Linked DNA regions of Caenorhabditis elegans. The protein of the gene in region 3 interacts with the protein of the main gene of each other region in a pairwise test. Each region holds a gene or a part of one and is shown on either strand. Other genes may lie near its edges.

The links.
Region 1: the proteins of apr-1 (region 3) and ced-2 interact in a two-hybrid assay, tested with the Caenorhabditis elegans proteins (one study listed by BioGRID).
Region 2: the proteins of apr-1 (region 3) and hif-1 interact in a two-hybrid assay, tested with the Caenorhabditis elegans proteins (one study listed by BioGRID).
Region 4: the proteins of apr-1 (region 3) and pry-1 interact in a two-hybrid assay, tested with the Caenorhabditis elegans proteins (2 studies listed by BioGRID).

Annotation. Positions count from the first base shown.
Region 1 is NC_003282.8:1,595,540-1,602,636, reverse strand, and holds ced-2 (Cell death abnormality protein 2), read right to left. Parts: upstream 5,320-7,097; 5' UTR 5,318-5,319; coding exon 4,879-5,317; intron 2,460-4,878; coding exon 2,257-2,459; intron 1,466-2,256; coding exon 1,268-1,465; 3' UTR 1,016-1,267; downstream 1-1,015. Other genes in the region: npp-8 (Nucleoporin_N domain-containing protein), read left to right, coding at 6,832-7,066. UniProt on the Caenorhabditis elegans protein: Required for cell migration and engulfment of cell corpses but not for programmed cell death/apoptosis. Has a role in the migration of the 2 gonadal distal tip cells (DTCs).
Region 2 is NC_003283.11:20,778,252-20,785,909, reverse strand, and holds hif-1 (Hypoxia-inducible factor 1), read right to left. Parts: upstream 5,504-7,658; 5' UTR 5,409-5,503; coding exon 5,389-5,408; intron 4,596-5,388; coding exon 4,405-4,595; intron 4,279-4,404; coding exon 4,124-4,278; intron 4,079-4,123; coding exon 3,764-4,078; intron 3,439-3,763; exon of another isoform or gene 3,375-3,438; coding exon of another isoform or gene 3,342-3,374; intron 3,247-3,341; coding exon 2,688-3,246; intron 2,585-2,687; coding exon of another isoform or gene 2,382-2,584; intron 2,173-2,381; coding exon 1,845-2,172; intron 1,775-1,844; coding exon 1,518-1,774; intron 1,438-1,517; coding exon 1,265-1,437; intron 1,217-1,264; coding exon 1,049-1,216; 3' UTR 650-1,048; downstream 1-649.
Region 3 is NC_003279.8:8,048,030-8,056,259, forward strand, and holds apr-1 (Adenomatous polyposis coli protein-related protein 1), read left to right. Parts: upstream 1-2,013; coding exon 2,014-2,196; intron 2,197-2,400; coding exon 2,401-2,555; intron 2,556-2,604; coding exon 2,605-3,331; intron 3,332-3,823; coding exon 3,824-4,411; intron 4,412-4,452; coding exon 4,453-6,006; intron 6,007-6,670; coding exon 6,671-6,952; intron 6,953-7,034; coding exon 7,035-7,112; 3' UTR 7,113-7,439; downstream 7,440-8,230. Other genes in the region: K04G2.7 (HTH CENPB-type domain-containing protein), read right to left, coding at 1-70, 126-219, 1,143-1,302; K04G2.9 (MARVEL domain-containing protein), read right to left, coding at 7,553-7,654, 8,111-8,230. UniProt on the Caenorhabditis elegans protein: Has a role in endoderm cell specification and pharyngeal development. Required for the migration of epithelial cells, organization of the anterior seam cells and ceh-13 expression during embryo morphogenesis.
Region 4 is NC_003279.8:14,173,049-14,181,657, reverse strand, and holds the start of pry-1 (Axin-like protein pry-1), read left to right. Parts: upstream 1-2,297; 5' UTR 2,298-2,301; coding exon 2,302-2,406; intron 2,407-3,302; coding exon 3,303-3,365; intron 3,366-3,424; coding exon 3,425-3,514; intron 3,515-3,559; coding exon 3,560-3,697; intron 3,698-4,147; exon of another isoform or gene 4,148-4,220; intron 4,221-4,462; coding exon 4,463-4,644; intron 4,645-4,691; coding exon 4,692-4,823; intron 4,824-5,445; coding exon 5,446-5,674; intron 5,675-6,397; coding exon 6,398-6,578; intron 6,579-7,498; coding exon 7,499-7,921; intron 7,922-8,084; coding exon 8,085-8,184; intron 8,185-8,443; coding exon 8,444-8,534; intron 8,535-8,595; coding exon 8,596-8,609. UniProt on the Caenorhabditis elegans protein: Works in parallel with axl-1 in negatively regulating bar-1 signaling in vulval precursor cells and Q neuroblasts. Inhibits Wnt signaling, which affects tissue specific expression of Hox genes, egl-5, lin-39 and mab-5.

The DNA.
Region 1 (7,097 bases), on a different chromosome or scaffold from region 3:
TTTTTTTCTTGCAATTGAATGGAAATCTTGAAGAAAATTGTTCAAAACTCTGAAAAAAAAACTATAAATTATCTGAATTTCTAAAAAATTAAGAATTTTAGTGAAAAAATTCGGAATTTATCACATTTTTAGGCGGAATCTGTAACAAAATTATCGAAATTCGGGAGAAAATCCAGTTTTTAACATTTTTCTACTGAAATCCAAAAAAAAAAATCAAATTTTTCACATTTCTAGGCGGGATCTCAGACGAAATTCGGAAAATTATATTTTTTGCCCCAAAAATTCGAATTTCTAGGCGAAATCTGCGAGAAAATGGTTCAAATTTGGGGAAAATCTTTCAGCTTTAAGAGGAAACGGCGGGTTTTCAATAGAAATCTGAGAAAAAATCGGCAAAATTCGATAATGTGGCTTTAAAATCTAAATTTTCTGAAATTTTATTTTAAAAAACTGCACTAAACCGTTAAAAATCGTTTATAATTTAATTTTTCAGTTAATTTTCCCGTTTTTAAGTGAAAAATAGCTTGAAAAAGGTTTAAATTCGACAGAAAACAGAGTTTCTCCAAAAAAAAAACACCGCGTAAATCGACACAAGTTTAAAGGCGCAGTATGGAGAGTGAAAGGGTCTCGCAACGATGGCCCGGGGTATTTGAATTTTTCATAAAATAAAAGTTTTTTTCGTGAAAAAATGGCAAATTTGATCAAAATTTGTTGTTTTTTCGTGAAAAACAGTCGAAGTTCAGAGAAACTTTCCATTTTCCAGTTGAAAATAGAAAAAATTGACCGTTTTTTAGCCTGAAAAACCAGAATTTATTGCAATTTCAGAGAAAATTCGAAAAAAAAAGGCCGAAAATTCACCAAAATACGTCGAAAAATCGGATTTTTTTGCAATTTGCTGGAAATCTTCAAGTAAATTTTCAAAACTTTGAAAAAAACTCCAAAATTATGACATTTTTTTCTTAAAAAGTACTCTCAGAGGCTCTATAGCACCTCATTTTCCAACAAAAATTCGAAAAAATCATAATTAAAACGGTTTATTAATCATCCGGCAGGTTGAAAGGGAAAAGTGAACAAAATGGAATGGACACGAATTGGGGTTCGGTGGGCGGAAAAGGCAACGAAAATTGTGCATGATATCATTATAAATATAATTTGGAAAAAAAAACGATTTTTTTCTATGGTAAAGCTGTAATGTATTAGAGGAAAACTGGTGGAGGGGCAAGCGAATCAATAAATTTCAAGGTTAAAAATTTAGAAAAAAAAAACGATTTTATTCGCTGACGGCGGTGAATCTGAGGTATGTATGAGGCACCGAGCCAATTTGGCCGTCGAGTTCCGCTTTGTACATTCCGTTGGACATTTTCTGAGTTACAAGCACTGTTTGCCCCTTTTTCACACGCAATTGGGTCGGATCGTAGGCGTTTGGGACACGATCGAACGTCACTTTGGCTTTTGCTGGCAGACGGGGCTGAAATATTGAATTTTTTTTTCGGTTTAGGAGATGTTTTTCATGATAAAAATCGTTAATAATTTCATTTTTCAGTTAATTTTGCAGATTTTAGGTGGAAAATAACTTGAAAACGGCCTGAAAATAGAGTTTCTCCGAAAAAAAACACCGCGTAAATCGACACAAGTTTAAAGGCGCAGTAGGGTTGGTGGAAGGGTCTCGCAGCGATGAGCCGGATTTTTAAATTTTTTGAGAAAAAAAAAAAGTTTTTTTAAGTAAAAAGGTCAAAATTGATCGAAATTATTCGTTTTTTTTTGACAAAAACAGCCGAAATTCACTGAAATTTGACATTTTCCAACTAGAATTAATAAAAAATCATTGAATATTCATTAGAAAGATGGAAATTGACTGAAATTTCGCATTTTCCAATAGAAAAATCTAAAAATTGGTGTTTTCCGTGAAAAAATGTCAAAGTTGCCTGAAATGCTTCGTTTATTCTTGGAATATGGTCGAAATATTAGGAAATTTTCGATTTTTCCACTAGAAATGTTAAAAATTGACTGAAATTTCCATTTTTTTTTCAGTGAAAATTTCAAAATATGACCGAATTTTCACTAAAAACGGTAAAAATTGAGCAAATTTTTAAAGAGAAATTTCAGATCCAACTTTCCCATTAAAATTCTGTAATTTACAAGGAAAATCGTCTCGAAATTCGAAATTTTCCCATCGAAAAATGTCAAAAATTGACTAAAAAACGCAATTTTTCAGCAAAAAATCTGAAATTTGTGGATTTTTCCGGCAATTTTCCACACCTGGAGCTCAATATTATCACTGCTCGTGCTGGCGCTCGAAAATCGTTCGGCGCCACCTCCGCTGCTTCCGATCGACGATTGACTGGCGCCTTTTGAGGTTCTGTCATTGTGAAATTCCATCTGAATTTGTACATAGTTTGCCGGCACTAATCCAGTGGTTCCCAACGCGTTTCTCGCCTCCCACCAATCCTGGTTCGTTTTTGCTGGAAAAAAAAAATTATTAAAAATCTAGTATTTTCGAGGAAAATTACCGAAAAAAACTTGGAAAATGCACAAAATCTTGAGAAAAACGGGAGAAAATCAAAAAACACGGTTTTTTTTTCAAATTTTATGGTTTTTACAGGTAAAATTTCGTATTTCCATTATAAAATTCGTTTATAATTTTATTTTTCAGATAATTTTGCGGTTTTAAGTGAAAAATTGCCTTAAAAACAGTTTAAATTCGTCCGAAAATAGAGTTTCTCCAAAAAAAAACACCGCGTAAATCGACACAAGTTTAAAGGCGCAGTGGGGTGGGTGGACAGGGTCTCACAACGATGAGTCCGGGTTTTTGAATTTTTTCATAAAATAAAAGTTTTTTTCGTGAAAAAATGGCAAAATTGATCGAATTTTGTTGTTTTTTCGTGAAAAACAGTCGAAATTCGCAGAAACTTTCCATTTTCCAGTTGAAAATAGTAAAAATGACTGAAATTTCTTGTTTTCATTAGGAAAATAGTCATAATGCACTGAATTTCGCATTTTTCTACTAAACCGGGTTAAAATTAGGCGAATTTTGTAGAAAATCGCATTTTTCCATTGAAAAACGTAAATTTTTAACATTTTTGCGGCTTTTTGGATTAAAAAAATGTGGAAATTTACCAAAAGTTTCTGGTTTTCTTGAAAAACAGTCAAAATTTACCATTTTCCAATAAAAACAGGAGAAAATGGGTGGAAATTTACTGAAAATTGCTCATTTTCTCACTAACATGGTAACAATCGGAAATTTAAATTTGCCCATCGAAAACGTCAAAAATTAACTAAAAATCTCGATTTTTCGGCGATTTTAATTGAGAAATGGCTTGAGAAAGTGGTAAAATTTGGCAAAACTTGGTTTTTAATAGTTTTTTTTTTGCATTTGGCTTCAATTTCCCCGAATTTTCAGATTTTTTAATCGAAAAAGTGCTCTTAAAGCTCACAAAGAATCTCGAGCCGCTAAATCAGTGGATTTTCGGGGATTTCACGAGAAAACTCATTTCTCGTAGTTTAAATGGCATTTTCCGAACCTTTGGTCTTTCTTCTCTAAGAAGTGCTCGAGATTCCAGAAATTGATTTTTTTTCCAGAAAAAAACGTTATAATTGTGAGGAAATCGACATTTTTTCTTGCATTTGGCACTATTTTCTCCGTATTTTTAGATTATTTAAAGGTGGACTACGCTCAGTGGGGAAATTGCTTTAAAACACGCCTATGGGGTCACAATGACAGAATATCATGATTAAAAAATTCAAAATTTTTTTTTATGATTTTAAATGATTTTTTGAAAATTGAAAAAATCTCAGTTTTCACCTAATTCCTATTTGAATTTCCGCCAATTGAACTCGTTCGTTGGAGCGCGCTTGCATTATTTTCATTAATTAATTCTATTTCTTCTCATTATTGGACTGATTTTCTTCATTTTTTGTGGTTTTTCATCGGAAAATCGAAGAAAACAACAAGAAAAATGCAAAATGATTTTTTAAAAGTAACTGAAAATGCGTAAAACTGTAAAATATACTAATTTCAGGCTTGTCGTTGTCAGAACTCAAGAAATCACAGTTTTAGAAAATTTCAGTTAATTTTTAACAAACAATTTGCATTTTTCTTGTTTATTTCTCTTCCATTTTCCGATGAAAAACTCCAAAAAATGAAGAAAATCAGTCCAATAATGAGAAGAAATAAAATTTTGAAAATTAATGAAAATAATGCAAGCGCGCTCCATTGAAAAAATCCAATTGGCGGAAATTCAAAAATAATTAGGTGAAAACTGAGATTTTTTTTCAATTTTCAAAAAATCATATAAAATCAGGGAAATTTTTTTGAATTTTTTAATCATGATATTCTGTCATTGTGGCCCCATAGGCGTGTTTTAAAGCAATTTCCCCACTGGGTCCGCCTTTAAAAAATCTAAAAATTCGGAGAAAATAGTGCCAAATGCAAGAAAAAATGTCGATTTCCTCACAATTATAACGTTTTTTCTGGAAAAAAAATCAATTTCTGGAATCTCGAGCACTTCTTAGAGAAGAAAGAACAAAGGTTCGGAAAATGCCATTTAAACTACTAGAAATGTCAATTTTCTCGTGAAATCCCCGAAAAATCCACTGATTTAGCGGCTCGAGATTCTTTGTGAGCTTTAAGAGCACTTTTTCGATTAAAAAATCTGAAAATTCGGGGAAATTGAAGCCAAATGCAAAAAAAAAACTATTAAAAACCAAGTTTTGCCAAATTTTACCACTTTCTCAAGCCATTTCTCAATTAAAATCGCCGAAAAATTGAGATTTTTAGTTAATTTTTGACGTTTTCGATGGGCAAATTTAAATTTCAATAAAGCAAGTTCCCCACAGGGTTTAGTCCACCTTTAATCAAAAAAGTGCTGCTTTAAAGCTCACAAAGAATCTCGAGCCGCTCTCCTTGCTCAAACGGAAGATCTGTCTCTCGTTCCCCTGTGAATTTGAATGTTCCGACGACAACCTCAATGATAGGCTTCTTGTAGGCGGCCAGCAGGCTTGCCTCAGTCAAAACTCGCATTTTAAAATGATTCAACAACGCCGGAATGTCTGGAAACGACTGATTCGCGATTTTCACGCCAGCTGCAGCAGTTCCATCTTCTTTCGGTTCTCCTCTTTCAATCAAATAATGACAAACGGCATTTCCCTCGTCGGCTTCACGTACTGTCAGTGAATATTCACCGGGGCGTGAGCTATCCCGCATTAGGAAGGTGCCGATCGATACTTGTGGCTCGCCGAGCAACTTGTGAGCCTCTTCACGGCTCATTCCTGGGAAGTAGAATGAACGCCACTCGAATGGATCGAACCCGTTTGTCGTCATTTCTGAAAATGCGGGAAATTGTTTAGAAACGTGGAATTTTTAGGCGCGCAAAATTGGTCAAAGTTGGGAAAATTTTCTGGAAAACGTAACCCAAATAGACGGAAAATCATCAAAAATCACGAGAAATTCCTAAAAATCCAGAAAAAAAAGACGAAAAATCAAGAAAAATTATATAAAAGGGGAAAGTTTTTTCGGCTGAAAAATGCTTAAAATCTTGTTTTTGAGAGCGAAAATTTATGAAAATCGGCCAAAAATCACCATCTTTGAGAAGAAAACGCAAAAATCTTCAAAAAAAAAATCAAGAATTTCGTGGGAAAAAATATTTTAAAATGAATAAAAATATGATTTTCAACCTAAACATTGCTGAAAATGTGAAAAAACGGGTGAAAATTCGATTTTTTAAAGGAAAACGAGTCAATATAGGCAGAAAATTGGATGAAAAAGTTGGAAATTGAATAATAATTAGCGTGATTTTCCAAGAAAATCAAGGAATTTCCATTTAAAAAATTCAGGAAATGAACAAAAATGGATGTTTTTTTGGCTGAAAAAATGCTGAAAATCAGTTAAAAATCGGCCAAAACTTGCGTGGAAAAATCAAAAAATCAGGAATTTCGTTGGAAAAGTACCTTAAAATGGCAAAAAATAAGATTTTAAAGAAAGAAATTGCTGAAAATCGTGGTTTTGGCACAGAAAATCTAGTAATTCTAGTGAAAATTTCTGAAAAATAAATGAACATTGGAGAAAATGGTACTTTTAGGAAGAAAAATCGATTGGACACAGTGAAAATTTTCAAATTTTGGTAGGAAATGGCGAGTTTTAGGGAAAAAGAGGGCAAAATAGTTGAGTTTTTCGGCTAAATTATGGGAAAAATGAAGAATTTTTTTGAAAAACTGTGTTAAAAAATTGGAAAACATGGCGAAATCGAGAATTTCGAGCAGAATAAGCAGGTTTTTAGGCTAAAGTTCGGTTTTTAGTAGAAGAAAATTGAAAAATACGCTTAAAACCTTTATTTTCGAATATATTTCATACTAAATTTACCGATTTCTTGTTTTTATACGCATTGAAACACCAATTATTCGTAAAAATGAGGAAATTGATGAGCAATTTTCCCAGGCAATGACTCATAAGCTTCTTGTCGACTGGAGCCAAAGTTTACACATTTTAAATACGTATTTTACGATGCGCAACCGCAAAAAATCAAGAAAATCTCCGAAAACTGGTGAGAAATTGCAAACAAACGACTTTTTTTGCACGCAAAAATAAATTGTCAGCTGTTGCGCTTGTCCGAGAGGAGTACACGATGAGGTGTGCGGGGGACTTGCAACACGCGACCCCGCCCACTTTTCCGCGCCGCATTGCAATTTGAATTCGGAATTTTGCGCGAAAAGTTGCGTTTTGCGGGAAGTTTTCCGGGTTTTTTACAGTTTTTTGCTATAATTTTCAAGTTTAAAGGTTAAAATATCAAAAATCACTCAAAATTTTCCGACTTTTTCAGCAGCTTTCCATCCTCCGAGATGAGTGTCTCGTTTATGGAGTTGGGCTCGGCCGACTCGGCAGAAGCGGCGGCGAACAAGGTGGCACACCACGTCGAGCAGATGATGGAGACATCGGATTTCTTCGATCGCCTCACACAACACGGCACGACGCCCGTCTCCGGTCTCGGCGAGAAGTTTTATGTGAAGGGAGCGCCGGAGTTTGTGAGCACACGGCGAATCCCAATACCCGGAGAGCTTCAAATGCAAATGAGCAGTGAGAGAGCATTGTTTCCGATGGGGGGGTT
Region 2 (7,658 bases), on a different chromosome or scaffold from region 3:
TTATAAAATTGCATAAAACCCCCGATTGTCGGAAATTATTGAAACTGACAGTTTTCAACATTGACTATTGCATGACCATTTTTTAGTTTTTCTTGTGCAAAACCGAAAAATCGAAAAACCGAATAATTGGAAAACAGAAAAAAGTAAGAAAATTTTTCATTTTTCGCTTTTTCCACAAAAAAAACCGGAGGTCTGATGCGTATATGTATTCATTATCTATTAATATGAATGCAATACTATTTTTCAAAGCGAATGCATTACAACTAGGTTGTGCAATACTAATTTTCATACGCCTTTTTTGTTTAGGATTCCATGTTTTCATTTACAAGAACAACTGTTTCTGAAAGACATTTTGCAAAATTGTGGTTAATTGGAACAAAAATGCAATAATCCTAGCCTTGTTGTAATTTTGCAAAAAAACATTTCAAAATAAACAGTCTAAATTTTAGAAGGTGTTCGAGGTGCAGTACTACTAAGAAGTGAAAGTCTAATAGGAAGATCGTACGTTTGAAGTAATTTGTAAATCAAGACGAATAGATTTAGACGCGTTTTCACTTTACAAGCTCATACCTCAAAATTTCAGATATTTTCCACAAAAATGAATGCTAAACTCTGTAATAGTGCTTTTTGTAAAGTTTTAAAAAGATGATCAAACCAAAAAGGTTTTATCGAGAAGAAAACGAAGACGGACAGAATTTTGAAAATGAATGAGACGAGAGCATTGTGAAAAAATGAAAAGAAAACTTAACATAAGAAGATTCGTTGTATAAATGATGCAATTAACTATCACTATGGAGATGGGAAAAACGGACAAACGGACACACAGATAGACACGTTTTGTACTACGATTCTTCTTTTTTTTACTAAATAAAGAAATCAGAGGGAAAGGGAAAAAGGAATGGGGGAAAATTTATCGGGGAGGATTCTTGAAACTCATTATTCTTAAAAAGAGCAATAGAATTAAGTAATAAGAAGTGTGACTTGAATGAATGAAGAGTATATTTTTGAAAACAAAACAATGAACAGTTTGAGAGGGGGTAGAAAATAATCAAGAGAGCATTGGAAATGGGGAATAAGAACTAGGCTGTTGTTCATTTTGCTGTTGCTGTCCTTGCCAATATGTCTCGTCTTGTTGGAATGGTTGATAATGTTGAGTGTACATAAAATCTAAATCTGAGGGACCTGATTGGTGCATTCGCTTCGCTGGTGGGCTTCTCTGCAAAAATTAACATAATGTTAGGAGCCAAAAACAAAACAGGCTTACGTCAATGTGCACAGGCCGAGCAGCTGGGGCTTGAGGTACCGCAGGTGTAAAGTCAGGCAAGTCGTAAAGAGCTTGAAGCTCTGGTGGTAACCCCTCGTCCATTTGCATCATATCATAAGTGTCAACGAATGGTGCCAAGCACGATAAATCAGGCTCTTCCCATTGAAGATCGTCTGAAAGTTAAACATTTTGTTGAAAGTTATCTGATTTCTTTCACGAATGAGATTGATTTGAACATTTAAAAAAAACTAACCACAAAGTATTGGTTCGCCAGAGGTTAATGTTGGCGACGAATCGATCCTTTCGGCAATGGCGATAGAATCGGCAAAAGGCATAGTGGAGAACACATCATTGCTTCCGATGACTGGGTTGATGCCTCTAGTGGACGACACATTGAGAGTATCTGATGGTGAAAGGGCGGAAAAGCGTCGTGACGAATCGGACGGATCGCAGCTACGTCCCATAGATCGAGCGTCTCCGTACACGACTTGTCCAGATTTGATACTGCAACTGATACAAGGATATTATAAACATGTACATGCTCAACGTGCTAATTGTGAAAAATGTATAAAAAACTAACCTCGGGGGACTGTTAAGTCCACATTGTGAGATGCCCTCTGCAAGTGGCGAGTAGTTGGCACTGTGTGGCAATGTGGCCGATGCTGACGTGGAAGACGATCCAGTTGTTCGACTTCCCTGACTTTGTGCTCTTCGTCCGTATGATGTCTTCGGTCGGGAGGTACGAGATGACGAATCCATGAAGTCCGGCGAGGCCAGAGCGGAACCGAAATTCGACGGTTCGGTTGTCCTGAAGCGGTCCGCTGACCGGTAGCGTGCCGGCGGCGGAGAGCTTGGCTGGTCGCGAAAAAGCCATTGCAAAACGTCATCGTAGCTGTTCTTACGTGCTCCTGAAATACACACGTTAAGAAATCACTTGCTAAATGTATGGAACTTTGAGTAGGCGTAGGGTAAAAAATAATACGACATGCATGGACAAGTTTGACAAGTTTGAAAATAAGAAAAAGAGAAACTCACGGAGGTATGAGGACAACGGAGGGGAAAACTGCGATCTGTTGTTTTTTTAACTTAGTAATCATAATCCCATTTCCCAAAGTACCTCCTCTCCGCCGTCCTCATCCTCTCCGTCAACTTCCATTTTCTCATTATAAATCGGAGCCAGATCCACATCGAATTCCGGTGCTAAACCGGAATCTTCTATGGATTCTGTATCAGAATCCATATCGCAGTCTTCTATATCATTGCCGGCAGAAATTTGCCCATAAACACGTTGCTCATACTCATCCGTCACCGAATAAATTCCTATATACGTACCTCGTAAATTATTCAATTTGGATAAAAAAAACTTAGGTGAATCAAACTGTATAATTACAAACTTTTAATACGTTCTTAAACATGTACTTACCCATATCAGCCTGCTTAACAGGTTCTTCTCCACCAACGACTGGCTCAATAACCGTATCAAATGGATCTTCTGGCTCGATCAATGGAGTAAAATCGACGCATTCCACAATTTCAGGTTGTCTTCCAATATAGTCTCTTGTATCATCCACTTCCTTCTTGATATCTACTTGCATTCCAGCTGGCATTGAATCAGTGCAAACTACCAATGACTCTTCAGCTCCTTGGATTCCGAGAACGTAATGAACACAAATGACATATTGTCCTTTTTGTCCTTTCGTCGTATGTGTGATTGTAGTAGCTTCTGTTTGAATCCAGGCAAGTGTGTCATTTGCAGCAATCAACCGGTAATACGGGGTACGGATGTGTCCTTTGGCAAAAAGTTCCTTCATGGATTTTGATACTATCATCATATCGGCTGGATGTACCAATTCGTAGAAACTGGTGCCCATGAGAGTCTTCAGCTCACTTTTCAAGATGTAATTGAACTTATCCGAAACGAAAGTGATGCGCATGTCGCAAGTGTGACGAGTTGTGAATGCACCCATTGGGCTTTCCGTGTACTGTAAATTAATCCATCTATATTTTTATTAAACTTATAGCATCTATAAATCTGATTTGAAAAAGTTTTCGAATATACACGCCCTTTAGGACTCACTTTTCTATCTAGGTATTCAGAGTCCCTGCTCATTTTACTTTTGCAAACGGAGCAGCAATACAAGATGTAACATCTTCTCCGTTTTCTCTTCTGCTTCAAAAAAGGAGAAGATGACGCCAAGTTGCATGTGCTTGTGCTTCTCTACTTCTCTCCAATTTTCTAATCCTGTTTTCTATGCGCGAGGTGCCAACGGCTGAGTGTGCTTTGCTCAAAGCACTATTCTCTATTTTAAAGATCAAAAGAACAAACTTTTCGAGCGAGCAGAAGAATAAGAAGAAAATGAAATTGTGTAACGTCTACTCAACATTTTGTCTCACAATTCCATCAGTTTATCAAGAAGCGGAAAGGAGGAGCAGAAATTCCCAAGATCAAAAGTTCAAACTTTAGAATCTTACTATGAAACATTCAAAGCAGATATTCACCTTTGTCATTGCAGATGCATTTGCATTAGTTGTACCCTGTCCAGCAGGAATTGTGATACCTTGCATGAATGACACGTGTCCACCAGTTGAAACTTTTGAATGAACCAGGAAAGACACTGATTTGTACAAAGCACTCTTCAAATTCAGACATCTTCCACGTGGGCTGATGACTGTCTTCATTCGAAGCACCATGTTGATGCCGGTGGTGTCTGTGTCCTCGCCACGTGGCTTGTGCAGCATTTTTGATTGCTTGTCAAACTCGTCATAGTCGGATGGATGAAGAAAGTCTCGAAGGGCTCGACCTGTTAAATCTGTCTGAAAATATATCGATGTTAAAGAAGCAAGTTTTCTATTGCTCACCTGTGTTAATCCTAAATACATTGCAACACTTTCAGTGACGTAAAGAATTGAAGAATCACTGTCAACAATCATAACAAAGCCGTCCAAGCATTCGGCGATGGTGTCTTCAGTCCATACCTCATTTGTGATTTCATTGTCCAAATTGTTTTCCAATACTGAAAGAAAAATATTAATTTGAGAAAAATTGGCAGTGATTTTTGGTCGATTTTCTCAGCATAAAACACGATTTTCAAGTGATTTTTGATGTTGAATCAACTATTTCTTTATTCGATGTCACTTACCATTACCGGCTGTCTTGCGCAGTCGACAAATTGTGGCGGCAACACGAAGAAGTGCAATACGGTCTAGATGAGTTACGGTACCTTCTTCAACAATAGGCACACACATTTTCAGATCATCAAATATATCCGATTCTTTAGACCGACGATCACGAGCCGCGTGTCTCGATGTTTCACGACGGCGTTCCATGTTTCTAAAAAGTTTGATTTTGAATTTCTTGTCACCCCAAAATTGGTGAATTTCAAAAAATTATATACCTATATAAGTACACTTCTCATGAGGTTTTTCGATTTAATTTAGTTTTAAGTATAACTGGGAAAATTTATTTTTTCAAAGGTGGAGTAGGAGGAGCCAGTGGAGAAAGTGTTGAAAACTAATCCAATGGTACTAAAATGACCGAATATCAAATTAAAAATTGTCAAAAATTTTTTGAAATTGTTTATTTACCGTCCGTTAGATGATAATCACTCAATTTTTGCCACTCATAATTTTGGAAGCATAGTAGGGATCGGAACATGCGGCATTCCTCAAATACTTATGTTTGTAAAAATTTTGGCCATTTGCCAAAACTTTGACCGGAAATTATGAAAAATCTAAAAAATTTTTAAGTGTTTTATTATGATTTTTGGTTGTTTCGAGCCATTGTAAGTGTATTTTTTAGGCAAAACTGCCACTGGCGCTACTCCACCTTCAATCACAATTATTTCACAATTTATTTTCATAATTTACTTTATCTAACATCTCCGATTAAAAATGAGTTGTGTCTAAAAAGAGCGAGATATATTTTATATAGATGATTCACATTTGATATTCGATTCGGAAATGCGCATTTTCAATACATCTACCTCTGCCAATGCTCCCTCTCTCTCATTTGCGAGCAGAGCATGGAGCAAACCCAAAGGACTACGGTACTTCTAGCGTTTTCAGGCATCCAATCATGGAATGTTTAAGAATGAATTTCGATTCTAACAGAATTCTAACTCTACCTTTTCCGATTGTCTTCCATCTTGATAGTGAATAGGTGCAGCTTCAGTGAAGCTGAGGTTGGTGTGATTGGGGCAACTTCCCCGTAATGACGGGCAACTTTCAGGTGGGCTGAAAATGTATGACAATTTTAAATTGAATAGAATCGGGTAGAGGGAATTAGAAAAATTGTATCAAATGTTCTTAAAATTATCATTGAGAACATAAGGGGTTGTTAGATTTTCGAATGTTAACACTTTTGAATAAAAAATCAAGTTTAGTTATGATTTATAGCACTAGGGTAGAGTGTAGTGAGACAAATTGAAACATCATAAATACCAAGGGTGCACAAAACGATCGATTGGATATGTTAGTGACAGTTGTTTGGACGGGGTCCCAGAGGACGTCAAGATTTGTAACAATTTCATGGACAATTGACTATTTGTTAGGCAAGTATCATAAGAATGTTGCAGAAAACAAATCATAGAGATCAAATGCTCAATTTAAAACCCAAATCTAAAAACAAGAACTTAGGTAGACTGGAAATTTCGCTGAATTCAATTCAAGAAAAATTGTCAATTTCTTTATATTGAGTGAATACAAACTGATTACAAGAATCATGTGATAAGCCAGTGAAGGAGAAAAGGGCACACAAAAAGATTAAAAGCAAAATTTTCCCGATTCAAAAATATAAATCTGGATATTGATGTTACGTCAATGGTATGAATGGGGCAAGATTGAGGGGGTGACTAACATCAAACTATGAATGAACTACGATCAATCTTTGAAAAAATTGTAGTTGAAGTAAGTCAAAGAACAGGGGAATCACTAGAATGTAGTGTTTTCACCGAGCGTAAACAATAATGTTTTTGAAGATAACTATACTCAAGTTCAGAAAGGGTAGTTTGTGTAGTGATTTTAGTTTATCCTTATTATCAAGTGAATTTCAAATAAAATAGTTAAGATCGGGATTCAATCAATCTTTGGACTTAAAGGCGGTGTAGTCGAATTTTTAATTACTCTATTACACTCAAAATTGTCTGAAAACACCGAATTTTCTAATTAAATTTTTGAAAAGGACACAAAAAAACTATGGCGGCCCAAAATATGACAAAAAAATAAGTTTTCAGCCGCTGAGAGTTGCTCAAATTTTAAAATTTAACTGATTTTAGGTCCTTTTTGAGCCACCATAATTTTTTTGAGAAGTTTTCAAAAAGTTTCATTAAGAAATTTGGTGTTTTCAGACAGTTTTGAGTCTAATAAAGCTAGTCCTTACATCTCATATCACACTTTTTAGCTTAATCGAGAAATTGAAAATATCGATACATCAAGAGAGTGCACAATTAATATAAATCCTCAAAATATAATAAAGAATTGTCGAAAGTTATTGGAACATTAAATAAAATCAATAGTCATATGAAACGAGGGAAACAGATAGTCATCATCAACAAGCGGGAGGCGACGACAAAATGTAAGAAGAAAGATGTTGATAAGACAAGAAATTGAACGACAGTGGGCAAAACGACTTCTCAGAGACTGTCGATTGACAGAATGTTAGACAAAAAATTGGGGGAAAGCTAGAGTACAGAGAAGTAGAGTGACTGATAATTGATTAAATTTAGCGAAAATTGAGTTTAGTCCATATCTTTATAATGGAAAGGATCAACTTTTTCCGATATGTGGTTCAGGAGCTATGTTTTGACATTGGAGTTAAATAAAAATTTAAAATACAGATCAATGAAATCAAACCTATTAGCGTTACCTTTGAACTATAAGAATTAATAGATTTTCTGAAAATCTGAAATCTCTCATTAGAGAAAAACTGAGCAGCTAGTGGGCGGTGCCTACAAACCAAAGATGGGCATCCAAACATTTCTTCGTTGATCAAAAAATGAATTAGAGAAGTAGAGTTTTCTCTGAAAATTGAGAGAGGTGAAGAAAAACCAAAAAAAAGACCTCTCATCTAACACACTCTCTTGACCCAGTAAGTACATAAACCACGGAGACACGAGACAAGCAGGCAGACATATTGAATAGTGTGCGATTTGGAGAGAGTCCAAAGAGATGAGAGAGTGAGAGAACTAAAGAGAGGACAACGTCAGTAGTGCTGTCGCGACAGAATTCCGACGCGCGCGTACATCGCGATGATGGTCAAGAGTACAGAGAGACACTAGAGGGTAGTATAAACGAGGGAGACGCAGAGATCGACATAGAGAGGGAACACGTGGTTTAGAGAAGGGCGGTGCGGTAAATGAAATTGGGATGATGGGTAAGAAAACGTTGAAATAGGGAG
Region 3 (8,230 bases):
TGTTACATCCAACGCCGACAGAATTATCGTCTTATCCTTTTTGTCGGCGTGGCGGCGTCCACTAAAGTATCTAAAAAACGAAAGATAAATTATCTAGGTCATATAGAAGATGTAGAAGTCCTCACCGGATTCCATGTTTCTTCCGAAACAAATTAATCCACCGATCAGAGACATCGAAGCCGCAAATTCTGCGAATCTCACGCCTCATCCATTCGTCTCCTTAAAACACTTTTTTTTCTATTTAAGTTTTCAAATTTGATTCAAATATATTAGTTGATCCTTTTATCAACTTTAGGTATTCTATCTGTGCTTCGATATACTACGGTCTAATTTGGAAGCCATATATGAACATTATAATTACCCATATTGTGCAGGGTATATGTTCACATAATATAAAAGGCCTGTTCAGTTCAAAAAGTATACTCCAAAATCATTGGAAAGTCATTTTATGAATGAAAACTGTCGTATCTCATCACTCAAATTTTCACACCTCGTTAGTTACAGTTCTATTCATTCCGGTAACCCTATTGTGTTGGGACATAAGATTCCTGATGGGACCACAAAAAAGTGGTGGCGTGTTTGCTACCCAACACAAATACCCTTGACTAGAGAAAGGGACTACGCAATCGTCGCGCAATCTGCCCCTTTCTCAACAGCAACAACCAAATTGGCTTGTTGAGAGGAAAAACAGTAGGTGGGATTACACACACTTTCTCTATCTGCCTAATATCTCTGTATCCTTTTCTGCTATTTTTTCGGCGCGAAATTTGAATTTGAATATCATAATTTCGTGGCAAGATCTAACTCCATTTTAAAGGTAGACGATTATTTTATCGGTGGGTCTCGCCAAGATCTCCGGAATTTTTATTGTGACCGAACCCAAATTTCATGATTTTTCAAAAATAATTTTAAGTGAATGTATAATAATGAATAGAAAAAGTCTGAATGTTCAGAACCTAGTCGGGTCGACTGAATTTTTGGAAAACATTTAGCGAACGTACATCACCCAAATTGTTAAAATAAACAGAGAAACATTCTATTCGTACCTATTCAGCCTAAATCAACCATTACATCCGTCTCCCAGTTTTTCCATTCCCACCTTCTAAATTGTATCATATATATATATATATATAAAATCTCACCTATATGTTGAGTACTCTGTCCATTGCTATCGCACATCTTCACCTCTTCATTATAGACATTAAATAGTTTCTGCTCTAACTCGCCTTCTTCAATACGACAGTTCGACGAGCTAGATGTAGAAGATGTTGAAGGACTCGAAGTAGATGTAGTAGTTGCCATTCAACGCAAATACACAAAATGAACTATTCTCTTGTCTTTTTTCTTCTTAGTTTTACCCCCGTTCAAACGCCTCCTTCCGATTCATCTTGTTGGTTGCAAACCATTTTTACCTTTCGTGCGCCGGTTTTGGAACTGCGGAACACGTAGTGTACTGTGTGGCGCCCTCCCTGTATAGTTATACACTCGACACTGCATATTTACATTGCGTTTCTTCGGTTTTCTGAAGGTCAAACCGATTGACTTCATCTCTGTTTCTTCTTTTTTTTTCAACCGAGGGGTTCGTGGCTGGCCTTCGAGTACTTTTGAACCATGGACAGCATAGTTTTCCATGTTGTTTTTACGGCCTTGAAAATTGAAGAATAGCAGCAAAAACGGTCACCTCTCGCATTGTAAACACCTGTTCTTTCGAATCAAAATGGGAATAAAACCACGAAGGAGTTTAATTAAAAGTGCTATTCAAGCTGGAACAAGAAATATTTTCGGTCCAAAAAATTGAAATCATTCAGAAAACCAACAATATAACAAGAAAAATTTAGGTTTTGAGTTTGTTTTGAAAGCTTAACAATTTTTTGTTTTCAAATATTAATTTGTTAAAAGAGTGATTTTTAACAATTATTATTTATTGGAATACATTGATGTACCTTTTCTATTTCTTATATATTCTCTTCAAATATATCAAAGATCATTCAAAATAATAAAATTAAATTTCAGATGAGCTCTAGTAGTAGTGATGAAAATGAAACAACGATACACAGAACAGGATCAAATACCGGTGGAAGTGGAATCTACTCACAACCTCGAGCAGGATCATCAAAAAGAACATCGAATGTGCGACATGATGTTAGTGATGTAGATGATGAAGAAGAGCATTATGCAAGATTTCGCGAAGATACGGTAAGGATTGTTGGAAAAAACAGATTTTCGATGTTGGTAAAAGGCCAAGTTTTGACTTTTTGAGGAATTTGAGCAATTTTTGTACCTGTACAATGGTCTTCTAAGTAAAAAAAATCGGAGCGTAAAAAATTAGAATATAAAAGTATTTTTTAAGCTTTTTAACTATTTTTTCTGAAAATACAATATTTAAAAGTTTAATTACAGGCGATCGAGGTTGACGATGCTATAACAGTTCTTCTTTCATCTCTACATTTCGAACACAAACGTGATATTGTTCCGACCGATGAAGATGATAATAAACTTCGAGAACTTCACGAAAAGATTTTTGCATTGATAACGAGTGAATCTGATGTTAACAGGTAAATCCGAAATTTTCAGAATATTTTTCAAAAAATCGTTTAATTTTAGAAAAAGACGGCTGAAAAAAGCTCTTCCTGCGTCAAACTGTGTTAGAGAACAAGTATATTATCTTCGAAGGAAACCATCAACACCACCAGCTTCTTATTATCATCGACTAAATGCAGCTCTTCACACAATCGTTAAGGAATCATTTGGAGAAGAATATCGAAAAGTTGCTACAGTATTAGGACTTGTTGAAGCGCTTGCAGAAGTTTTAATTCTTGAAGTTCACACATTTGGAATCAATGAGACCAATCCTGGAGAGCATCGAAATATTCGAAAACTTATTGCCAATGCTCTTACGAATTTAACATACGGTCAAATTCACTCTAAACGCCGGCTATGCTCATATGATGGATTCATTCGATGCGTTGTTCGAATTGTGATCGAATCTCCAAATATAACTCAAGTATACGCTGGACTAATCAGAAATCTCTCATGGAACGCCGATTCAGGAATGAGTGAAGCTCTTCAACCAACAGTTCATGCACTTTCAATTGCTGCAGTACATGCACATACACATAGATTCGATGTTACAGCAACATTATCTGCTTTGTGGAATCTTGCTGGTCACTCAGTAGAGAATAAACGAACTATTTGTGATACTCCGAATTGTTTAAAAGTATTAGCCAGCCTTCTATCTCCTGATGCAAGATTCACGTCACTTGTTGATTCAGCTACTGGAATTCTGAAGTATGTATCACAATATCTCGCGAATACTTCCACGCATTTAGAGGTTAGTTTTTGATTTGTTTTTGTTGAAAAATGCAAGTGAGGTTTCAAAGTTATCTTTTTTTTTCATAAATAGAAAGAAAAAAATCGAAAAAAATTTCATGGCGAGTCAAAATTTTGCAAAAAAAAATCCAAATCTTGCTAAATCTTTCGTCAACTTGCGCTTGTTTCCAATTTTGGACATTTCTGAATATCGACTTAAAATGTGCCTAAATAAATTAACGAGAGATAAAAGTCAGAAAAATATGCCACAAAAAGTGATTTCTTCAACAGGGATTTTAAAAGAAAATTTTGGAAAAATTTTACCCTTTTTTTCACCTTTTTGTAAATTTTTTGAGAAGTAAGTAGGTTTTTTTTTTGAGAAATTACGAAATTCGATGGTTTTGTGTCAGTTGAAGTTTTTAGGCAAAAGAACCCACAAACACTTCCCTTTTGCACATAAAATTGATCAAACTGAACAAATATCATTATTTCAATTAATCCAATAAAATTTCAGCTAAGAAGCTTGCTCATCACTCGAATGCTCACTTTGCTCAAGAGTGCCTCGTTCACTTGTGTTACAAATACTCTAGGAGCTATTGCAAACCTAATTGTCAAAGATCCCCACATGCAGCAAATGATTCGGCAGGATATGGCTGCAGTACAGCAACTCAACGTACTCCGAAACTCGAATCGTGATGATATTCGGACAGCAGTGAAGTCTGTGCTGAATACTCTTAATCAACCGTGTAGTCATCGTTATGGTGATATGTCACATTCTGTTGGAGGAGGAGCCACAGGGATGCAAATGCTTTCGGAGCCACAACTTCAGATGCAAACATCTCATCATGCTTATCATGGAACTGCGTCACCAAGATTACTATCACTGAGAGCAACTCGAGCATCACCTGGAAAATATATACAACCACAGGCTCAACAACAGTTGATACAGACTCCACAAGTTGATCAAAGATCTAGTAGTCTGCCAAGACATTTTGCCGTTCAACGAAATGGATTTGTGATGGCACAGTCCTACAATCAACAAATGGATCAACATCAGCAACAACAAATGATCTATCAATTGCAGCAACAACAACAAATTATGGTAACGATTTTCCAGCGTTTTTTTCTGTAATTTTCTCTTAGTTTCAGACGGAGGATCAAGCGCAAATGGAACATCATCAACAAATCATGTACCTTCAGCAGCAACAACAACAATTTCATCAAATTCAACAACAGCAACAAATGCAAAAAGCTCAGGAAGCTGATCCAGTTCCTCCTACGGATGACGATCTAGATATTCCCACATCTACCGTAATGGGAACACGAAGTAACAGTGAAAGAAGTCTCGGCTCGATGAATCCTGGAAGTGTTATGACAAACTGGAATTCTTCTCTGGATACTGCAGCCAACAGTTCTCGTGCTCTTTCTCCTGTATCATACAATGATATTCCAGCTTCTCCAACAATGTGTGCTCAGGTGTTCAATTTACCTAAATCCACTGAATCGGAACATCATCAATTGACGTCTCAACAGCAGAACACTACACATTATAGCAGTGGATCAGCTAACACTATGACTCGGAGTGATGGTGCAACTACTGTGCCAATGGATAACATTATTACACCAACTTATGCTATTTTGAATCCAATATTGGTACACGAACAGACACCGAACGGGACAGTTCCACGAAAGACTTCAGAAGAGTTGGATAGTCCTGATGATGTTCTCCCAGGTCCATCTCTTGAGGAGGAAGAAGGTGATTATGCTATAATAGGAGGTGCCGCACAAAAGACAGATGACGAGCTTTTGACTCGTTCTATTCAATCTGAAATGCCTACTTCGTCGTCTACTCCGAAGATGAAAGTCTCGCCTCGCCTTAATGGATTCTTCTCTCCAACTCAGAAAACAACATCGTCTCCTGCATGGTCTCATCCAGATACCTCACCGATTCCAAAGTCATCTTCTCATCGAACTCAACCTAATCGTCGTCAAGATGCTTCTGATGCAGATCGTCTTTTAATGGAATCAATAATGTCAGAGATGCCAAAAAGTCGAATTATATCTCCACGACTTGCTGGTACACAACAATATCTTGAACCCGAGCCAGAGAGAAGAAGTCATTCAAAAAACGAGGAAGCCGATCGCCGCGACGCATTCACCGCATCGCATGAGCCCAGCGATCATAACGGCATTGATGTGGCAAGAGGCTCAGACTGGTCTCCACAACAACAATTACATCGAATGGAGTCATTGGAAAGCCAAGCTAGTAGTGAAGATAGTTTTGGATTAACTGCTGAAGAACCAAATTCATCAACTTCTGGTGCTGCTGCAAACACTATGAGATTTGACGATGAGATCGATGCATCTCTTCCAATGGATTGTGTCGATGATGATGATTACGACTATACTTATGATCATTTCGAAGATTATGAAGATGAGGAGGATCCTGATGCGACTCAGTTTGATGATGGAGTTGATGCACAACTAACTATCGATTGTTCAATGATTTCTAGTGGAAGCGGTTCATCGCAAAGAAATGAAACTACGACAACGTCACGAGATTCAAAAGCTTTAGCTACTTCCACACCAAAAGGATCTGCATCTTCACTCCCAGGAGTTCGACAAGCCACCCGAGTATCAACGAATGGAAAGTCAAGACTGCCTGTTCCAAAAACGAATGGATCACTTGTTGATAAGGTATTTATTCTATTAAAAAACTCTGATTTTATAGAATTAAACAATGTCTCATGAAAATTGAAAATCGAAAAAAACGAGAGAAAATTCAAAAAATTAATCACAAAATTCAATTGTATATTGATGAAAAAAAATATTTAAAAAAAACATAACTTTTGCCTAAAAATAGTAATATGACCAATATTTGAGATTTTTTCGAAAACCCGAAATTGTTTTTCAATATATCGGGAAAAAAAAAACGAAAATGTTCGATTTTAGAAAAAAATCCAAACTTGAACCAACAAAAAATGAAAACTGGTAAAAACTCGGCATTTGGCTCTAGCTTCTTGCCCAAGTTTAGACAGCTTCTGATCCAAGTTAATTTTTTTTTGTTTTATTAACGTAAATGAGTACAGTAGAAAAACAAACTTTAAAAAATATATCAGAGATATTTAACTTTTGAAAAAAAAAACACTAAAAACCATAAATAAACCCACATTTTGTTAAAGAATATTTGTAAAATATGGAAAAATAGAAAGTGAGTTTTTTATTAATTTTTTTTTAGCAAAAAAAAATCAAAAAATGCCGAGCCCTGCTCCCAATTTTTTTAAATTAACTTTGATAAAATCAAAGACCAACTGAATTCTAAACGTTTCAAATTAGATTTTCAAACCTCGCTTTTTTGCAGAATCCCAAGCCAATCATCGCTTCCCGGCGGCCACGATTGCCACCGAAGCCGACACTTTTAAAAGATAAGCACTATCCAGAAGAGGATTCGATTGAGAATCAGACGAGAGATGATACGATATATGTGAATGCTCCAGTTGTTGAGGCAGAACAAGAACGAATTTATATGAATGCATTGAAGCAACAGAAGAACATTGAGCAATCACCGTCAATTGGAAACGGATCACCTATAGCTAAATCTGCAATTGTAACGCCCTACAATTATCAGAAACCGCCTTTCACTGTAAGAAAATAATTACTTTTTTTTAAAAAGTACAGTATCAATTCAAACATGAAGAAATATTCTTTAAAATAAACATTTTCAGGGTCGAAATAATGGTGAAATGAGCAACGAGAAGAGTGTGACACCGAATCCTAAACAAATGCTTGTAACAATAGTCTAATGATCCGCTCATATACCGAACCTTGTTCTTTGTATCCCCGTCATCTCTAGTCGTTCCCAGTTTCTAGTCGAGTGTTCTCATCTTCTTATTCTACCTCGAACTTTTATATTATTGTCTAATGGACCCTGTAATCATATTTCTAGCGCTGGCAATATACTATGTTTTCCAATTTTCTGTAAAATGTGATTTGGTTCTTGTTCTTGTTTCCATTACCTGACCGCTCAATACATAGCTGTTAATATGTTTCATTCAATTTGTAATACGAGTTCTTTCAACCTCACTCTGCTCCATTGTTTTCTCATCTTTTTTGAATCATAAATATTGTATATATTTATTAGTGTGAAGAAGTATTTGTTTTATTAGAAATCGGCAGGAATGGGAGAAAAAAAAACACGAGAGAATCAGTTATATTATGCAAACTTTCAAAGAAACCATTATCTTCAATATAGTTCTTCTCTGGATATGTTACGAAGTGAATGACGATTCTTATGAGTGAGGAAGGCAGTCAGTGCGTAGAAAATTCCCAGGATGAATGTTAGGAACTGAAAAATTAGGTTCATAGGTTTTTTGAGAGTTTTTTGTTGAGGAAAAATCCAGAAGAAAAGGAGCTAGTGGTGGATAGTTTATCTCTTTGTAACTTTTTTGATTTTCGAGTTAAGAATAAATTGTTACCCAGACGTGAATTTTGCGATTTTTGCGCCAAAAGTACGGTATCTGGTCTCGACACGACGAATTTTTTGTGAAATACAAAAGGTGTGCTATTGTAATTTCAAAATTTATATCGATTTTTATAGCTTTTCGTTAAAGACATATTCGTTTATCAAAAAAAACTATAAAAATCGATGAAGTTTGAAATACAGTACTCTTTAAAGGAGCACACCCAGTTATAACTACCCATGGCGTGATTACTGTCTTATAGATGAAATTATCAAAAACAAAATTCTAAATGCAAGTAAGCCATTATATGGGCGTACCACCTATTCAAACTTCAAACTCACAGATGCAAAAGCCCATTCGTAGATAATCCGACATCCGTTGTGAATAATTCCATCGGATCCAATATCATTGCAATTGTTTGACCAACTTCCAGTTGAATAATATGCTTCAACAATTGACAG
Region 4 (8,609 bases), 6.1 Mb from region 3:
TTAAGTTTAAAATTGAGTTTTTCGGGTGTTTTGAAATGCGGTTAATTTAGTTCCCTTAAAATTTAAACGAAAAAAAAAAGGTTTTTGCATACTTTCTCAATGGGGCGTACTTGCAGATTGGCGGGAATTCTAATTTTCAACTAAAAAAAACCGAGTTTTTTGCATACTTTCCCATAATTCCCCTATCATTTTCTTCATTTCTAGACCGAAAAAAAAAAGATTTGTGAAGATCTCCGCCAATAAAAAACATCAAAAAGTGCCGCTTCTTCAAGGTTTTTCACAATTTTTGGCGGCGGGGAGAGGAGGCGCAGCAAGTCGGAGTGGACGGCGGGCTGGAGAGAAATATGAATAAATCGACAAGACGCAGGCACGTGTCGGCGAACATCAAAGAGTCGCTGGTTTTGAAGAAGGGGGCGCCTCCATTCTCACACCGACCGCCCGAGAAGAAGAGAGAGGAGGCACTTCACCCCCCAATTCTCTTTTCCTTCTCCTTTTCTCTTTACCCCCCTTGATTTTCCTACCCCCATCTTTTTCCTAAATCCTTCTGTTTTACCCATTTTCCTTTTTAGACCATCTTTGGGACTATAATATTTGCTTTGAAAACTGGAAAATTATATGAAAAATCCAGTTTTTAAATTTATTTTAGGCTCAGTTTAGGCCAAACTATTTTAGGTCTTTTTTAGGCGTAAAAATTTGAAAATTTTTAGACTCGGTTTAGGTCAAACCATTTCATGGCCAAATTTCGGCTTGAAATCTAAAAAAAATTACGGTAAAATCTTATTTTTTGAAATGTTTGAAAACTCAAAATATTCCAAGAAAAAAAAAACTAGTTTTACAACATTTTTCTGGGTTTTCTTAAAATCCTTGTTGGGCTAAGAAATTTTAAACTAAGAAATTTTGCTGAAATCTTAAAAAAATTGTGTTGTTTGAGGTTTACTGGCCAAATTTTAGACTTTTTTTTTAATGGCGATAATTTCAAAAAAATCAAGTTTTTACAGCGTCACATTTTTTAAACATTTTTTAAGCTTAAACTATGAGATAGCAAAAAATTGTCTACTAACAAAATAATTACCGTAAAATTTCCTACATTTTATTAATAGCCAACTTTTCGATTGCTTCAGGCTCCACAGAGTTATAACGGTTTGAACTCAAGAGGCGCTAGGCTCCTTTTAACTTCAAACCTCTATAACTCTACAAATAAAAAAGCTAGCAAAAAATTGTTAACTATCAAAATAATTATCATAAACTTTCCTACATTTTATTTATTGGAAACTTTTTGATACCGTCATTTTCTGCAGAATTACAGGATTTTGAACTTGACCTCTACGCCTCCCTTGGCCCCCAGTTTTAACTTAAACCCCTATAACTCTGCACACAATGGTGCTAGCAAAACATTTGAACTGACAAAATAATTGCTATAAAACGTCCTACAATATGCTAGTTAACAACTTTTTGATGGCATCAGTCTCCGCAGAGTTACAGCTATTTGAACTTGACCTCTAAGCCTCCCTTGGCCCCCAGTTCCAACCTAAAAGCTCCATAACTCCGCAGAGAGCAGAGCTAGCAAAAAGTTGTCAACTAACAAAATAATCTACGTACAATTTTCTACATATATTCAATTTAAATTTTTCTGCTAGACCAACTTACCAGCAAGATCAACGCCCCTAAAGTTAGGGGCCCCTCCCGGTAGCCGGTCGAGCGTCCCCAGTAAACTCTTCCGGGGGCACCCGAAACAATGTTCACTCATCAATCGTTGTCATCTTTCTGGAGACATGTGTCTTATCTGTGTGTGTGTACTACTACTCTTCCCAATACACCCCATTACTCTCCGTCACTATCTCTGCGTCTCTCACCCCCGCCACTCTCTCGCTCTCGCCCATTCATTGAGTAAGCGAGGGGCCTCATTCCTTGATTATCAGCCACTGATAGGAACAATAAGACACCCATAGTTGTTCCATTTTTGCAATTAGAGAGGGAATAGTGACGCTTATAATATATTGTATATCCTATATCTTATCACAGTTTTTTTTTTTTTTTTTTGTGTATAGTTTTGGCCTATTTTATAGGTTTTGAGGGGGTCAAACTGCTAAGTTTAAATAAAATTTGTTTAATTTTCAGTAAAAGCGTCATTAGAAAAGTTTTGAACAAAAAATTGAAAAAAAAAATTTTGGCAAAAAAATTATTTTTTTAAAATTTTTTCAAAAAAAAATTTCCCTCGATTTTTCAAGTTTTTCTCTACTTTTTTTTTTGAATATTCTCTTATTTCAACATAATCATAAAATTCACCTCCTTTTCAGGTGCATGGAGACCCATCTCGGTTGGGCGCGAAGCCTGGAGGCCGTTCTATCCGATCGATCGGCACTCGACGCGTTTCAGGAATGGCTTATTGAGTACTCCTCGCCTCAGGTAACTTTTTTTTTGGGATTTTTCTGCGAAATTTGGATTTAGCTTGCCGAGAGCTTCAAAATAAGTATAATCATGACATTTTTACGATGATTTTGAAAATTTTTAGGTTTTGGCGCAAAATTTTTAGATTTTCTTTTGCTGCGGGACCCAAAGTTCCAATATTTGAAATTTTTACTTGTTTTCGGATGTAGCTTGTCAAGAGCTTCAAGATGAGTATAATTATGCCTAGGTTACTTCAAACTTGAAAGAATCTGGGTCTCACCGCGAAGGTTATTACTGTAGTCCCAAATTTTCGTGGCGAGACCCTAATTTTTCAACCTTTGCGGAACCTGGACATCATTATACTTATCTAAAAGCTGACAGCGAGCTGACTTCGAATTTTATAGTTTTGCAGGCGAAATCATAATTTTGTGAGAATTTTGACCAGTTACAAGGAAAGTCTGCGATTTCACGTTTTTTCGAAAATTTTTTGCGAAAATTTCAACTTTTTTTAATTTTCGAGATAAATTTCTCATAATTTAATCAATCTTTTCATGCGCTTTTGGAAAAGCATAATCATGACCACGTTTCGCAAAACGTTGGGTCCCACCACGCAACCCATGGGGTTCTGTAGTTGTTTGTCGTTGTGGGACCCCATAAAAATTAAATTTATTGAAATTCATACACAGCATCCTGAGAGCTTTGAAATAAGTATAATAGTCTAGGTTCCGTCAAAAAAAAGTTGGGTCTCACCACGAAATCTACTACTGTGGCCCCACATTTTCGTGGCGAGACCCAATTTTTTCAAACTTGACGGAACTCATGCATGATTATACTTATTTCAAAGCTCTCAGCAAGCTAAATTCAAATATTGACTTTAAATTTCCGAATTCTCTAAAAAAATAAGAAATTTTCAGTACCTCGACTTGTTCTTCGCAATCCGAGCATACGAACGAATGGCGTTGGAGGGAAAACCGGAGGTATTGATTTTTTTGCAACTTTTTTGGCAAATCGGGCAATATTTATCTATTTTTTTTAGAAATCCCAACTTTCCAAGTCAATATACTCGAAATTTTTGTCCTCTCGGACCGGAAACTGCGAAGCAATTCCCAAGCATTTTAGGGCTCCGGTAAGCTTTTCTTAAAATTTTTTAAAATCAAAAATTAATTTTTGGATTGGTGAAAAACTACGTCATGGCACCGAATTAGAGGATCGGGTATTCAGTCATTGTTCGAATTTTGTTCAAGAATTTTTAAGACGCCAACACGAGGAGTTTGTGGGCTCCGAAGAGTTTATTGAGGCTTTTAATAAGGTAAATTGTTTTTTTTTTTAATTGTGAAAATTTGAATTTAGCTCACTGAGAGCTTTAAAATAAGTATAATCATGCCTAAGTTCCGTCAAATTTGATAGAAGTTGGGTCTCACCACGAAAACCTACAGTAACCCAGGATTTTCTTGGCGAGACCGAGGTTGTTTGGAAAATTTACAGAATTTGCGAAACCTATGCATTCTTAATGTAATATCGGCGGTCTCAGTTCAGATTTTCAGAATTTTGGCGAAAATTTTAGGGTTTTCCAACAATTGGGTCCTACGACGAAATTTTTCCGGTGCCTAACTTTTTGAATTTTGATTCTTTGCAATTTTTATTTACAAAATTAAACTCAATTGACTGAAAGCTTCAAAATAAGTATAATCATGCTTAGGTTCCGTTAAGTTTGAGAAAAGTTGGGTCTCGCCACGAAATGTATTACTGTAGCCCCAAATTTTCGTGGCGGGACCCAACTTTTGTCAAATTCAACCAAACCTAGGCATGATTATACTTATTTGAAAGCTCTTTCTAAGCTAAATTGAATTTTTATAGTCACAGTGTGAAAAATTTGAAAACCGAGAAGTTGGGTCCCACCACGAAAGGGTTACTGTAGGTTTTCGTGGCGAGACCCAATTCTAATAGAACCCAGACATGATTATACTTATTCGAAAGCTATTTTTAAGCTGAATTTGAATTTTAGCATTTTACGTATCTTATCGCAATTCTGAAAAAAATTTCCAATCCCAAAAACTAAAAACCCCAATTCCAGATGTCATCTACCACCGCCGACCAGCTCCCGGGAGGCTCCGCCCACCATTCATCACACCAAAACACCATGAGAAGGTCGTCAGGCACTACCTCCCGTAAAAGTGCCGCACAAATCGCCACCCAGCTCACAGCTGAGGCCCTCCTAAAATCGAAACACGACAGGCACAGCAAACTTGGAGAAACGTAAGTCGCCTACCTACCCTACCTATTTAAATTTGAATTTTTTTTAGAAAACTTGAGAAAATGTACCCACCGACACGTCAACCATACGTATGCAACGCCACTACCTCACACAACGACTCGGCTGTCAGCTCGACGTTTTCTGGGGACACGCCCGAAGCCCATAGGATGCATAGTAATAGGTAGGTGATTTTGGTTAATGTATTTGAATTAAGCTTGTTGAGAGCTTTTAAATAAGTATAATTATGCCTAGGTTCCGATAAAATTGGGTCCCGGCACGAAAATCTACACTAACCTTTTCGTCGTGAGACCCTACTTGGCAGTTTTCAGATTTTTTACTTTTAAATTGTGATAGCTGAGCTCAACTTACCAAGAGTTTCAAAACAAGCATAAACATGCCCAGGTTCCGTTAAAATTGGGTCCCGCCACGAAAACCCCGAGTTACTGTTGGTAGGTTTTCGTGGCGAGACCCAAATTTTTTCAAACTTAACTGAACCTAGGCATTATTATACTTGTTAGAAAGCTCGTTACAAGCTGAACTTTAATTTCAAATTTTTAGGGTTCAATAAATTATTTCTGAAAAAAATCGCGACGAGACCCAAATTAAGCTTATTTTTTTGAAAATTGTATTTTTTTGAAAACCTTAAATTTTAGTGTTGAGAGCTATTACTACAAAAAAACCAAAAGTTTTCGCGGTAAGACCCTAAAATTTTGAAAATTTTCAGGCCATGGCATGATTATACTTATTTTGAAGCTCTCAGTGAGCTTATATCAAATTTTTATCTAAAAGTGTCTAATTTCCAGACTCCGCCATATCCGAGACGAACAAGCCCGCGAGAATCACGGTACCATGACACTGCCACGTGTCGAAAAAGCCAGCGTCGATGGTCAGCAATGGGATCATTCTTCTGAATCAGGAAGAAGAAATTTTGCAATGGAAATCACCAGAAAACTGCTTAGGCATATTGATAAGGTTAAGCTAAATGATGAGATGGAGAAGAGGATTGACGATATCGAAGAGTGTCGGTATACGGTAGGTTTTTCAGTTTCGAGTTTTAGGCTTTGAATTTGTAAAATTTGAAATCAGCACGCCGAGAGCTTCAAAATATGTATAATCATGACTAGGTTTCGCCAAGTTTGAAAAATTTTGGGTCCCACCACGAAAATGTGGGGTTACAGTAATACCTTTCGTGGTGGGACCCACATTTTTTAAAACTTGACGGAACCTAGGCATGATTATACTTATTTTGAAGCTCTCAACAAGCTGAGTTTGAATTTGTAATTTTTAAAGTGAAATTCAAAGAATTTTAGGGTCCCACCACGAAATCGTACTTCGCGGCAGGACCCAACTTTCTTCAATTTTGCAATTTTGCTTGGAAACTTATAAATTGGAGCTAACTTTGCTCATAGCTTCAAAATAAGTATAAACATGTCTAGGATCCGTTTTATTTAAATATTCCTGGTTTAAGCGTACAGTAACCCTAGATTTTCGTGGCGAGACCCACTATTTTTCAAATTCAACTAAACTTGAGCATGATTATACTTATTTTGAAGCTCTTTACAAGCTGAGCATGTTTTTTTAGTTATCTAGTCACCACTGCAAAATTTGGATTTTTTGGGTCCCACCACGACTACAGTAACCCTGGATTTTCGTGGCGAGACCCATTATTTTTTGAATTCAACTGAAATAGGGCATGTTTATACTTATTTTAAAGCTCTTATCAAGCTGACTTCAATTTTCAAATTAATTTTTCAGACAATCGACATGGTAAACGGCACGGAGCCCAACGACGATCTGGGGAAAATCGATGAGGACGAGGAGTTGGATGATTATCTGAAAATGAAAATGACAGATGATTCCCAAAAAGGATCAACAAATCGATCACCTAAAGGCCCAGCAGGAGAGCCCAACAAATCTGGAGAAGGATCGAAAAATAGTGAGTTCCCATGCTCCGGTACCATATGTCGGGTTATTCTCATGAAGGGATTAATATTACTAATAGGTGTTAGAATTGGAATAGCTGTTAGTAAACATCTTAATGACAAAAATATTTGTCAGGGAACGTTTTTTTTTAGTTCGAATCTATGAAAATTAAAAATAAAAAAATTTTTGAAATTTTTTTTGAGCAAAAACTTTTTTCTCCAAAATTAATAAATTTAATTATTGAAATTATTAAAATCACGTCTGCCTCATTGAGAGCTTCAAAATAAGTACCAACATGCCTAGGTTTTCTTGATTTTGGGTTCCGCCACGAAAATGGGTGTTGTAGCTTTTCGTGGTGAGAACCAACAACTACAAAATGACATTTTTGCTTTAAAACTACAAAATGCAAGCTCAGCTCACCTAGAGCTTCAAAATAGGTATAATCATGGCTAGGTTCGGTGAAATTTGAAAATTGTTGGGTCTCGTCACGAAATGTATTACTGTAGCCCCAAATTTTCGTGCCGAGACCCAAAAATCTTCTAATTTGACGAAACCTAGGCATGTTTATACTCGTTTTAAAGCTCTTGACGAGCTGAAAAAAAAAATTACTAAAACTGTAAAAGTTTTAAATTTTAAATATCTTTCGTGGTAAGACCCAAATTTCTGAAATTTCAAAAAAAAATCCAGTATTTTTATATTTCCAGTCAATTTTCAAACTCAGCTCGTTCAGAGCTTCAAAATAAGTATAATCATGCCTAGGTTTGGTGAAATTTGGAAATTTTTGGGTCTCACCACGAAAGTTATTACTGTAGCCCCAAATTTTCGTGGCGGGACCCAACTTTTTTCAAACTAGACGGAACCTAAGCATGTTTATACGTATTTTGAAGCTCTTCATGAGCTGAATTCAAATTTCCAATTTATAATATTTTCCAGCCACCCTCTCCCCAACCAATCGTGCTCCCGCTCAGCTCCACAACACAATTCGGGTCCCGAGACGAAAAGATTACCCCCGGGACACCTCGGCTTCTCTAAAATCTCATCGTCACCATCAAATCGACACAAATCGAATGATGAGCCAATCAATGTGCGCTCCATCGTACTCCTCAGCCAGCTCCTCCTACAGTAGGGACTCCTTCGCGCCGGCGCCCACTACCAGGGTGAATTTTGCTCCGGGGAGCAGCAAATCGAGTCAATTCTATGATTCTTCGGGAATTGGGTCTATGGCACCGTCGGCGTTCTCCGCCACTTCGTCACTGGATTATAAGGATCGGAGGCAGCACAGAAAGGCTCCAACGCCTAAGAAGCACTCGAAAATTGGGAAAAATTTGTCGAATTTGATAACTATTAGCTATTTAGGTAAGGTTTCATTTTTTTATACAAAAAAAAGTGAAAAAAAAAATTTTACAAATTTTTTTTTGAAAATTTTTTTGAACTTTTTTTTCAGATTTTCTATGTTTCTAGGGTAGATTTTACCCTAAATTTTATATTTTCTAACATTTTAACTCAAATTTTTTTCCAGGAACCGATAAAATCCCTGTGGTAACACATGTCCCTAACGATGGACCAATGACGTTGGCGGAGTTCAAGAGGCACTTTGCTCTGCCAAATGGAGCACATCAGTGAGTTTTTTTTTGGGTTTAAACTGGGAAAATATTGATTTTAGGTTGATTTGGAAGTTTTTGGAAAATTTTGAAAAAAAAAATTTTTGCTCAAAAATATTTTTTTTTGGAAAAACAAATTTCCAAAAATTTTCAAAAATTTTTTTTTTCAAAATTCTCAAAAACGTTATTTCTCAATTAATATGGTATAAATGTTCCCAAAATTGCATAAAACCATAAAAATGTACTATTTTCCTCCCTAAACCCCAGAAATTTCCAGACTATTCTTCAAAACCGAATGTGAGGATGGCTCCGCCCCTTTTCAGCTTTTGCTCATTAAAGATGAGCATCACCTTTTACCAGTCTTTGAGGTAATTATTAATCTTATTATTGGACTGCAAAAAAAATTCCAAAAAAAATTTTTTTTTTCAGGGTCGAATTGCCGC